Daphnia pulex: one gene and its partners. The protein of the gene in region 1 purifies or fractionates together with the protein of each later gene. This does not show direct contact. Links are inferred from orthologs where the notes say so. Each region holds a gene or a part of one and is shown on either strand. Other genes may lie near its edges.

Region 1 (2,588 bases):
AGCAAGGAAAAAATTTGCAACTGTCTGAGCTTGAACTCCTTGATTTGCATCAACTAAAAGAATAACCCCCTGGCAAGCTGCCAATGACCGTGATACTTCAAAGGAGAAATCGACGTGCCCCGGTGTATCGATTAAATTCAGCAAATAGTCATTTCCTTGATAATTATATACTAATGTGGCAGTTTGAGCTTTCACTGTAATGCCTCTCTCCCTTTCTACTTGCAAACGATCAAGCATTTGGGCTTCATGACCTCCTTTGCTAATTGTTCCTGAAAATGAAGAGACAATTACAGAACTGTATTCAGTCAAATAATGATGAATATTGTAAACCTGTTAATTCTAATAGCCTATCTGCAAGAGTACTCTTCCCATGATCAATATGAGCTATGATTGAAAAATTTCTGATCCTCTCGACAGGGAATAAGGTTAGGTCAATTTCAGATTTAGATTTACTGGAATAGTGTTGAAAACTTTGTTGGAGACTCATGTGCTCTGGCAAAAGAAATATTTGTCTCTTCCTAGACAAATAAGAAATAAAGGCAAATCAGTGTGATGCTCCTTCTCAGAAAGAATAGTATTATTTCTTGAGTAAAAAAAATTACTTACCAAAACACATGTTTATAGGATTTGCATCTGCACATTTTAAAAGCATGGCGAATGGAACGTGATTTCCACATCATCAGATTTACTTATTAATCAACTTCTATGTGTAATAATTCCGGCAATGGTTTCTATTTTCTTTTGAAAATAAATAGCAGACAGCAGTTTGCCGAATTTTCCTACAAGCGAAGGCCAGCCCAATACCAATAGCATGGTCGGCCAGCAGCAAAATGTTTTGGAGAATCGACGCATCGAAGATCGAGCGCCAATTGCCATGTCAGAAAAAGTAGCTCGCACCGGGCGGCCTGTATTATTCATCGTGCTCTTCACAACACAATGTTTACGTCAACTGTCTAGGTGGCTAGGTGCTCGTCGCTCTAAATTGCTGCATTTTGGGTTTAATTTTAGGGGAATTTAATCCGTTAGCTAATAGCTACTAAAAATGACCCGAACTCGATTGGAAACAAACTTTATCCGACTTTTAGAACAGTGTAAAACGATTGCCAACAATGGAAAGCACACTGAATGGAGATTTGAGAAGGTAGACTTACTTCTTCAATGGTAATAAGTTTTTCCACCGACAATAACTGAAGCTGGATCGCTTTAATTTGTCTTGCCTCCTGTTTAATAGTATATCATTACACTTGAAGAACAGCTGACAGAATTGAAGAAATGTCCAATGCCACCAAATAAGGATGTTCTAGATGATTACACAAAATCTGTTGCTTTTTTGAAAGGTCTTACCATCACTGAAAAGCTGGTAATTACATCATCATTACATATTTTCTCATAACTTAACTTATAAAAATTTTCCAGCCTTCTGTTACAGATAAAGTTGTTGCTTCTCAGTTTTTGTCCCCTTGTTCTTCTCCATACGGAGACACAGTTTCAAAGGAAATCCGACATAAAGTTGCATCTCAGTATAGCAATCAAGTTAGGGATGAGTTGCTGACCAATAAATTACTTCCAGCAAATGAGTCTGTCTCAACAGAAAAAAATGAAGAATTTGAAAATCCTGCTTCAACATTAAGGCAAAGAAAAACTGAATTACTGAGCACCATAAAAACAAACACCACTCCTACTCATGTGCAGGATTTTGATGGAGTGATTAGTAATGAGCAGCAAACCCAAGAAGAAATCACAAATAATTTGCTTACCATGGCTAAAACCATGAAAGAGCAAACCATGTCTGCAAACTCAATTATCAGACAGGACTTAATTACACTGGAAAAGGCCAACATTCTGGCTGAAGAAAATCAGACAAACCTTCAGACTCAAACACAAAAGCTTCAAGAGAGAAGTGGATTCTGTACCCGTTGCTGGGTTTGGTTGTTTTTATTGCTTGTCTGCATGTCTTTCATAGGTAATCTATTGCTTCATTGTAATGTTGAGGTTCATTTGATGTTAATTTTTTCTATTATCTAGCCATGATTGTCTTCATGCGGTTGTTCAAGAAAAAGAAGACATCCTAAGTATAAAAGAACATCACACATACTAAAAATTAAACAAGGTTAAAACTTAAAAGTTCTTAAATAGGATTCATCAACCACTGGTGCCCTTACTTTGAGAATACAACTACAATTAATGTATTTTGGATTTTTTGTTTTTAAATCATAATATTTTGCTATTCACATCACAATTAGCACAGTTAGTTGTCCCAATTTGTCTCAGTTAATCTAAATCTAAACCTAATTGAAATGAAGTTATATCGACTTTATTGAAGGCTTCGAGTCCCATAAACAAAAAGAAGTTAAAAATAAAACGAGGCAACAAGGGAGGCTTAGTACATTTTTTTAAAATTGTACATATCGACGTAGTCTAGAAATCCCGATATATATACGCCATAAGTAGCCCCGTTGGAAAGAAAACGAAAAGTTGTTGTTTGAAAACAAGTATTATCTAACCCCGTCCAGCTTGGGCTTGTCCCAATTCTTCGTCGTCAACAGCTACTTGACCATCACTGGTAACGCTCTGTTAGAAACCAAAAT
Region 2 (3,759 bases), on another chromosome or scaffold:
AAATTTTAAAAAGAAAGAGAGAAAAGATTCAATACTTTAGCATAGTCGACCAGATTTTGATACTCGGCATATGTCCCTCCACCCACCATGAATACAATAGCATCTTGGAATTGGGCACGACTCTTAAGAGGAGCAGTACTACCGCCCTCACTAGGTTTCAAAAGCTTTGGATCAAAATAACGGTAATCGTCGGTTTCTGGAGAGGGTTTCAGTTCCATCAAGTGATCAACAATCCGTGTAACTGGTAAATTCTGTTGAAAAATATTTTCATCAAATGAATTCTGATTTGAAAGTAATTCAACCAGAAAATGCTTACATGTTTCTTTACAACCAAGTTCTTCACGCCTTCCATGACAAAATTCGAGCCTTGGGACATAAGTTTCGTAAACATGTTCACTGTTCTAGTTCCACCTCCCGAGTACTGGCTAGAGCCAGTCGCAATCTTGCTGCACGACCTTAATTGAAAATAGTGAATTTTAGAAACATGTCAAACAATCCACGATTGAAATTACTCACTTCCAACGCTTCAAATAGCGCAAAGCTGCTAAATTGCAGCCAGCAGCTTTTAGTGCAGCGGCGTACTGATCAGTTTCGGACTAAACAAAATCGATAAATATAACAAGTAAATATCATTGTAAAAGAGGCTTATTCCCTACCTCAGTCATGTTAGGTGAACAAATAAAATAGACCAGAAAGAGTCTGAGTTTGTCGTCTGGAGTTCCGCACTCCGAATCACTAATGATGTCTAAGACAGATCGATCTAAGGCGTTTTTGCTCATAACCTTCTCCTCCACCTCTAGTAAAACGTCCAATTTTCGCTGCTTGATTTGCTCCAAGATGGCTAAAAGATTGAAAGTTAGTAAGTTTAGTCTTGTGTCAATTTATGGGTGGTTCATAGGAAGCCTTTAAAAAAATACATAATTTTACCTGTTGCTATGGTTGTATGCATGTCTAAAAGCCGCTTCCTCTCCAGAAGCTGGGGTAGAGAGCTAACTGCTGAAGTCAGCTTGGCTGTTGTGTTGGAAATCAAACTCATAGCGGCTTCTCCGTCTGGATCTAATCCCTTTGAAAAACAAAACGTAATAAGGTAAATTAATGGCCACAAATTTCTATTCATCGAAACAGTACCATTGATTCTTTTAATCGTTTCACTTCACTCTCCGATGCTTTGTAATCTTCCAGTTCTTCTTGGATGGATTCTGCTACTGTTGGGAAAGGACTGCCTCTATAAGATATCCAAAATTTGTCGGATGGGTTCAAATCACAAGTCTTTATTTTGGCTTTGTGAGAAGGGGTGTGCCGATGGCTATCCGGATGGTGATTGGCATCACTTTCTGGTTCCTGGACGACCACACGATTTAAAGTGTAATCCAAAACATCGTGTACAAGGGCTTGGTAAGTCCAAGTGTGGTGGAGAGGTGTAGCCATGTCCAAGTTACGGTCGAGGAGAACCAACAAAGGCCTCTGAAATCTAAAAATTTTAAAAAATATATTGTAACTGCAATTCGCGCGGCGGGTTATTTGGCTATGAAACAGACATACCCAAAACTTTGGGTTAGATCAGAAGTAAAAAGACCACTTCTCGTATCTCGCAAACTCTCCCTTAATTTCTTGTCTAGTTTTTCAGCTACCATTTCAGCTGCATTTCCTTTAGGACTTCGAATCACCGGAACAGTGCCTGCATCATTGAATAATTTGCACATGATGCACATATAAATGAAAAATAGAACAACTTTTACCCAATGTGGCAAATAAAGAGAATAAACTATCCACAATTCCATCTAAAATGTTGTTCATCTCTGTATCTGTTATTTCACCCCTGTTCATAGCTGAAATTAATAAGATAAATTTATAATTTGATTTGTTTTAAGGAAACAATGTGGCAATGGGGGCAAGAGTAGTACTCACAGTAGTAGGATATCATGTCACTGTTCTGATTTCTGAGGATAAACAAATCATCTTCCAGAGAAATGAAATTCAGGTATTGATCACAAACTTTTAAGATCTGGGCCACACTCTGAGCATTGATTGCAGCAGATGCCAAGTCCTCCAATCTTTGCCGGGATATGGATGAGATAAAATTGAAGTAATATGATTCATATAGCTGGTTTTGTAAATCTTGGCTTATTCGTCCTAGGTTCTCTTCAGTGGGCAGGCAAAAGTAAATAGCAGGCACATCTGGAACAGGGTCTCTAGGTGAGTGTAGTTGGACGTGGAGAGTCACACCTAGTTCTTGCAATTCCTTGACTGATAGAATGGGGGATATGATATCCTGTCCATACTTGTCGTACACCAAAATTTTCCATGATGGTTCCATGATAGTTGATTTAGTTATAGGTTGGTTGAAATTTATCATTTGCTTCAACAGATCTGTAAGAACAGAAAGTATAGCATGAAAAACTGAGTCTTTAAAGAAAACAATTAACAGACGTACTTATCTGTCTCTCTCGTATTGAAGAGCCCATGGTTTTTCTTGTTCAATATTCTCGTGTTATATTGTTTTATGTTATATTATATATTTGGATTTTGGATGTCGGTCAGATCGTGTACTTATCCGGATCCGTCAAAACAGATACGTCAGCAGCTGTTTTTTTCTTCTCCGCTAGATGGCTTCCAAGAGGTTGTCTGCCTGTTTTTACTTTTTTCGGCGGCAACATAAACTTTGATTGGTACTTTCTCTTTTTACGAAAATGTTGCTTAAATTATTTAGATGTTGTATTATTTGATAAAGTTTTAATATTATAACCGTTCTCCTTCTTTTTCATGTTTTTGTAACACCTTTCTCTGTAACAGAATCCTCCCTGGAGCTGGAAGCCAAGTCCTAACTCCCAAGCAACAAATGTCAGGCAACAAGGTCAGTTAATCAGTTTCACTTTTTACTTTAGTGATCGTCAACGCTTGCCCTTTATTGGAGAAATTTCCGCATTGGCTTACCTTCTAAATTTTATCAATTTCGAAGTATTTCAGTTGTTACCTCGATACATAAACCTCTTTTTCACTGTCGAAGGAATCAGAGCGGAAAATGTATGCCGCCTAAAAGTCTATAGAGTTAAATAGTGTCCCACCCTTTAGTGTTTGTTTCCTGTTTACTTTTATTTCATCACAGGCAAAGAGAAAAGTTCTTTTTAAAATGATAGCTAAAAGAAAAATAATATTTTTATTCATGTTATTAACATCCATGACATCTGAATGGCTTGATTCAATTAAGATGCGATAAAAAAAATTCTACGAAATTCCTAATTGAAGAAACACTGAATACGAAAATCGGCGTCTTATGTAACTATGAATAATATAATTTAAGCTGTATTTGTGTCCTCTTTTTAAAAGAATTTAAGTATTTAACAAATACCCTATTTACCGCAAAGAATAATAAGCCGACGGGAGACGGGACCATTTCATTATCTTCGTGTCTGTTTCGGTGTGGCCTATATTTTCGTTTTCTACTTAAACCGAGGAACTTGACATAGAGAGTCCAGAGAGACAAAACTGAAATGGAAAGTAAATGGTAGCATTTGTTATGCCATTATACTCCTTCCCTCTATGACTATGCAGGATTTCCTACATTATTGCACGTACGTATTATTTCCGTAAACTTTTCCGTTTCACAAATGGCAATTATCTAACACGTTGCGCTTTAAAGACCAAGAATCAATCCCTTGAAAATTGTTCCTATATAAGGTAAGCTTGTTGCGTTTGTAAGATAAACAGTCTTCGACTATCATTTGCCCAAGAAGGACAATTATAGCTTTGAGTCTCCGT
Region 3 (3,759 bases), on another chromosome or scaffold:
ACTCTTTAAAGTAAATCTCCGGTTTTGTGGTGTATTGCCCAAAAAGCGGTATCAGATTCTGCTGGATGTCGAAGCAAAGTTGAGAAGCGCCTCCTTCATTAAACTGCCGCTGTAGGATCAGCTCTTCCAAGAGGAACTAGAATTAATGTTTGATTCGTTAAAATTTCTGATTGAATAAAAACAGGCACAGTCATTTCATACGTCGTTCACTTGAGAGGCCAATTTCTGCCACGCTTCGACAAACATAGTAGATGCCAGGGAATCCTTAAGCCACAACAAGCCAATCGCTACTGCCTGGAGCATTGCAGATCCTATTTATTATAGAACAAAGACGTCAAATAATAAAACGGATTATCAAATAAAAACTACGAATCTAAATACTGACCTGTTGGCGATAGGCTGGGTTGAATGAATTCATCCGGATTGGGGAGTGATGCCCACCTACCGGACAATTCCATTTTTTATAATAAGGCAATTCAAAAAATTATTTCAATTACTTACTTGTCAAGTCTGTAGGGTTGCGATTTGGCTTTCACTTCGAGCATCACCGCCTCTACCAGACGGCGCAGCAAATCTTCCTGCATTCTCTTTAAAAGCTCAATGATGCTGTCAAATACCGATCCTGTTGATGATCAAATTCGGAATAATGTTTTGTTCGGAAAAATAATATTGAAAAGACTATTTGTTTACCTTCTTCGTCTCGATTAGTATGAGCTTGAGTACGAAGCCAAGGAAGCGAGGCCTCATCATTGCTAATAGCTTCTGCAGCTAAACGTTCAATATTTTCCGTCTGGACTTTATAACTATGCAGTTGAACGAAGAACTTGCATCACAAAAGAGAAACATAAACGATTATTATACGATAATTCATAATTTGGATAAATTATTACCGGCAAATCAGTCCAGTCATCTAGAACATTAATAACAGCCGTCAGCGTGTTCAGGATAGGGCTGATATTGGGCGATGATCGATTGGCGAATAATTCGTGAAATTTGTCTTGACGGGCTAACTGTAGCAACCGAATACGGAACTCGTCCAGCAGTTCAAGCTGTAAATCCAAAAACTGCAACTTATGACCGGGTTGGGGTAAGATCTTGTAACGATCCGTAATGGCCAGCAGCATTTGGAGAAATCCTTCGCCACACTCAGTTAATCGAACTTCGTCTTCTGCCTCGGAATTGTCTCCAGAGACGCAAGTCCAGGCTTTATCGCTAATCAAAAGGATGTCCATTTTTTCTACGGCGACTATGAATGAAACAGAATGATTGAAGTTTAAGTAGAATGCGAGGAAATTCTCATTAGTCAACTTACAAGCTCTTTCTAAGGCAATCCATCGAGTAAAAAACTGGGGCTGAGAGAGAACAAGTAAAGCTGACGGCTGTGAGGATGGGTAGTTGTAAGAGGATCGAAGTTCACTCTCAAAGCTGAGTACTTCACCGATAGTGTGTGCCAAAATGGTTTCATCCTCAAGGATAACCGGTGTGTCCTTTACTAGTTTCTCGACAGCAAGTTGAACGAGTCCTCGTGAAAAATCCGTTAAAGCATCATTAGGTGCATACAAGGGTTGAACGTTTGTTTCGAGGAATTTAGCGTGATCTCCAATCCACTGAAGAATCTGGCGCATATACCACTCGGGTTTGTCACGACGGTTGGTTGGTCGATTACCACCAAAATGATATAAAAATCTTTTCAATAGAGGATATATTAATTCTTGGATGGCTAGGCTGGAAGGAGTAAATCTAGACAAAATCACATGATCTGCCACACTTGGATCTTCCAACCTGAAAGAAATAAAGAATTCAAAATGTATCCGCAAACTTGTACTTGGGCCAGTGTAGAACTGACTGTTTGGATGGGATTTCCAGTTTGCCAAGGCACTGAAATTGTAACTGAAACTTGCTCATCACATCAGGTGGAGGGACAGTTTTTAAAACCTCCTGGTTCGTTGAAATCAAAGGCCACTGTATCAGTTTAAGAGTATCTTGCATTTCCCTGTTTTTCAAAAGAACATTTTTTAACGTGTATAATAAATCTTTAATTGAAATGGGCTATACTTTTTTAGTTTTTCCTTGATCATCTCAAACCAGAAAATTACAGTATCATTAACAAACTTTTTTAGATTTTCACACTGAGATGTTTCCAGCATGCAGTTGTGTTGTACGAGTTTGTTGTACAACTCAACAGCTTCCAAATCTAGGTTAGACTGTAAACTCTGTCGGATTTTCTCACTAATATCATAAGTGATGAAACATGATTAATACTTTATGATGGGGTTTATATGTTTATTAAATTGAATACCTTAGATCTTCCACAGTTTTGATGCATTTCAGGTAGGAATATTCCAGTTCAAGTCTTTCTATTTCTTGTAGTTGACTGCTGAAATTTCCTAGAAATGTGTCGACAGATGTTAAGTGTGATTGGGCTTCAACTTTCAAGTCCAAGTATTGTTTTTCAAGAGTCACTAGTTTTTTTGAGAGCTCTTCAACCTCCCTCAAGGTGTTTTGAACTTTTGTTGGAGCTTCTGTGCTAACTAATGAAAGCTGAAAATAGATAAATATTAGATAAATAGATGTTGGAAAAACAGGTGAAGCAAGATTATTTTACTTTCTCTTTCAGATCATTTTGTATGGTTTTGGTTTCATCATACAGTTCTTTGAGTTTGTGAAGTTGTTTTAAATCTGATCCAATTTCTTCATTGAGTGCTTTTACAATTTTTCTTTGCAAATCCGGGTTTTCCTCCGTCATCTCAATAAATATGTGTAATTTATTAAGTTTGTTTACACAACTTGTTTGCTGCTCACTGGCTGCCACAGCCACACTACAATTTGCTATTGAAAACTGTCTGCTTGTTTATGTGTCAGAATAAATCGCGAGGTTGCAAGATAAATTGAACACAACTCATTAACTCATAATTCATAGTCATAAGCAGAGAATAAGCGGAAATCCATGAAAATCCAGTAGCTGATGAAAATTATGAATAATTATGCTTTTTACTCTCTTACTTTGTCATAACTTATGATCGAGCGAGACGAGACTGAAAGTCCGAAACAATCACTCTACCAAAACACTTTTCGATAATAGAATGAATTCAAATTTAGTGTATTTAAAAATCATTTAAATTTACCGTAATAACCGTATCATACAGTTTGAAAATGAAAAATGTAGCAACAATTACAGTCTAGTTTTCTTCTATATCCTTTGTTGAAATTGAGGTGCGCCCTAAATTAACGATGTTTTCAAAAAACGGGTTTAAAGGGTACGTGAGAATTCCCTTGTCCAATGAATAGTTAAAAAACTCGAGGAGGTTGTCTGATCGTAAGGTTACTTTAAGGTCGCACTTAAGTTTCGAAGTCGTCCGGGTACCGGAGAACTTGGACGAAGACTAAGCAATAGAAAATAAAAAATTAGGCGTGAACTGGATCTAGAAAGAGAAACAAAATTTTACCGAAACAGTGAATTTGGTTATGACAGGATCCTTCTCAGGATAGAAATGCTCAGAATAGTATTCATCTTTTCTTTTCTTCCATGGTCTATCTTCATCTTCTATGTCTTCTTTTAAATCTGCAATCAAACAACAAGAATTATGTCTCAAAAAATTGGCTTCCAGAATAATGACAAATTACCCGAATGAGATTCTTTCATCTCGACGTCTGCATCGATTGGATGTGTAGTTTTGACAGGTCTTCTACAGATCTTTCCTTTGCTAATCTTGTTTAAATGCAGTTGTCTTAGGGAACGGAAATCATTGCCTTCAAGAG

Evidence for each region.
Region 2: the proteins of vesicle transport protein USE1-like (region 1) and sec1 family domain-containing protein 1-like purify together in Homo sapiens (affinity purification with mass spectrometry; 3 studies listed by BioGRID and IntAct, counting the BioPlex papers as one, with this or other methods). This does not show direct contact. The link is inferred for Daphnia pulex from reciprocal best matches to the Homo sapiens genes USE1 and SCFD1.
Region 3: the proteins of vesicle transport protein USE1-like (region 1) and RAD50-interacting protein 1-like purify together in Homo sapiens (co-immunoprecipitation; 3 studies listed by BioGRID and IntAct, counting the BioPlex papers as one, with this or other methods). This does not show direct contact. The link is inferred for Daphnia pulex from reciprocal best matches to the Homo sapiens genes USE1 and RINT1.

Annotation. Positions count from the first base shown.
Region 1 is NC_060018.1:697,868-700,455, reverse strand, and holds vesicle transport protein USE1-like, read left to right. Parts: upstream 1-950; 5' UTR 951-1,042; coding exon 1,043-1,141; exon of another isoform or gene 1,142-1,158; coding exon of another isoform or gene 1,159-1,161; intron 1,162-1,231; coding exon 1,232-1,360; intron 1,361-1,416; coding exon 1,417-2,025; coding exon of another isoform or gene 2,026-2,072; 3' UTR 2,073-2,075; downstream 2,076-2,588. Other genes in the region: translation factor Guf1, mitochondrial-like, read right to left, coding at 1-269, 331-518, 607-680; ATP-dependent Clp protease ATP-binding subunit clpX-like, mitochondrial, read right to left, coding at 2,500-2,571.
Region 2 is NC_060019.1:10,712,943-10,716,701, reverse strand, and holds the start of sec1 family domain-containing protein 1-like, read right to left. Parts: upstream 2,626-3,759; 5' UTR 2,466-2,625; coding exon 2,435-2,465; intron 2,371-2,434; coding exon 1,909-2,370; intron 1,830-1,908; coding exon 1,740-1,829; intron 1,679-1,739; coding exon 1,543-1,678; intron 1,472-1,542; coding exon 1,129-1,471; intron 1,064-1,128; coding exon 928-1,063; intron 842-927; coding exon 657-841; intron 597-656; coding exon 517-596; intron 456-516; coding exon 317-455; intron 252-316; coding exon 36-251; intron 1-35. UniProt on the Homo sapiens protein: Plays a role in SNARE-pin assembly and Golgi-to-ER retrograde transport via its interaction with COG4. Involved in vesicular transport between the endoplasmic reticulum and the Golgi.
Region 3 is NC_060023.1:2,168,629-2,172,387, forward strand, and holds the start of RAD50-interacting protein 1-like, read right to left. Parts: upstream 2,841-3,759; 5' UTR 2,747-2,840; coding exon 2,606-2,746; intron 2,542-2,605; coding exon 2,300-2,541; intron 2,230-2,299; coding exon 2,056-2,229; intron 1,994-2,055; coding exon 1,847-1,993; intron 1,783-1,846; coding exon 1,313-1,782; intron 1,247-1,312; coding exon 891-1,246; intron 824-890; coding exon 691-823; intron 623-690; coding exon 502-622; intron 442-501; coding exon 386-441; intron 312-385; coding exon 202-311; intron 137-201; coding exon 3-136; intron 1-2. Other genes in the region: uncharacterized protein LOC124197333, read right to left, coding at 3,180-3,383, 3,447-3,562, 3,625-3,759. UniProt on the Homo sapiens protein: Involved in regulation of membrane traffic between the Golgi and the endoplasmic reticulum (ER); the function is proposed to depend on its association in the NRZ complex which is believed to play a role in SNARE assembly at the ER.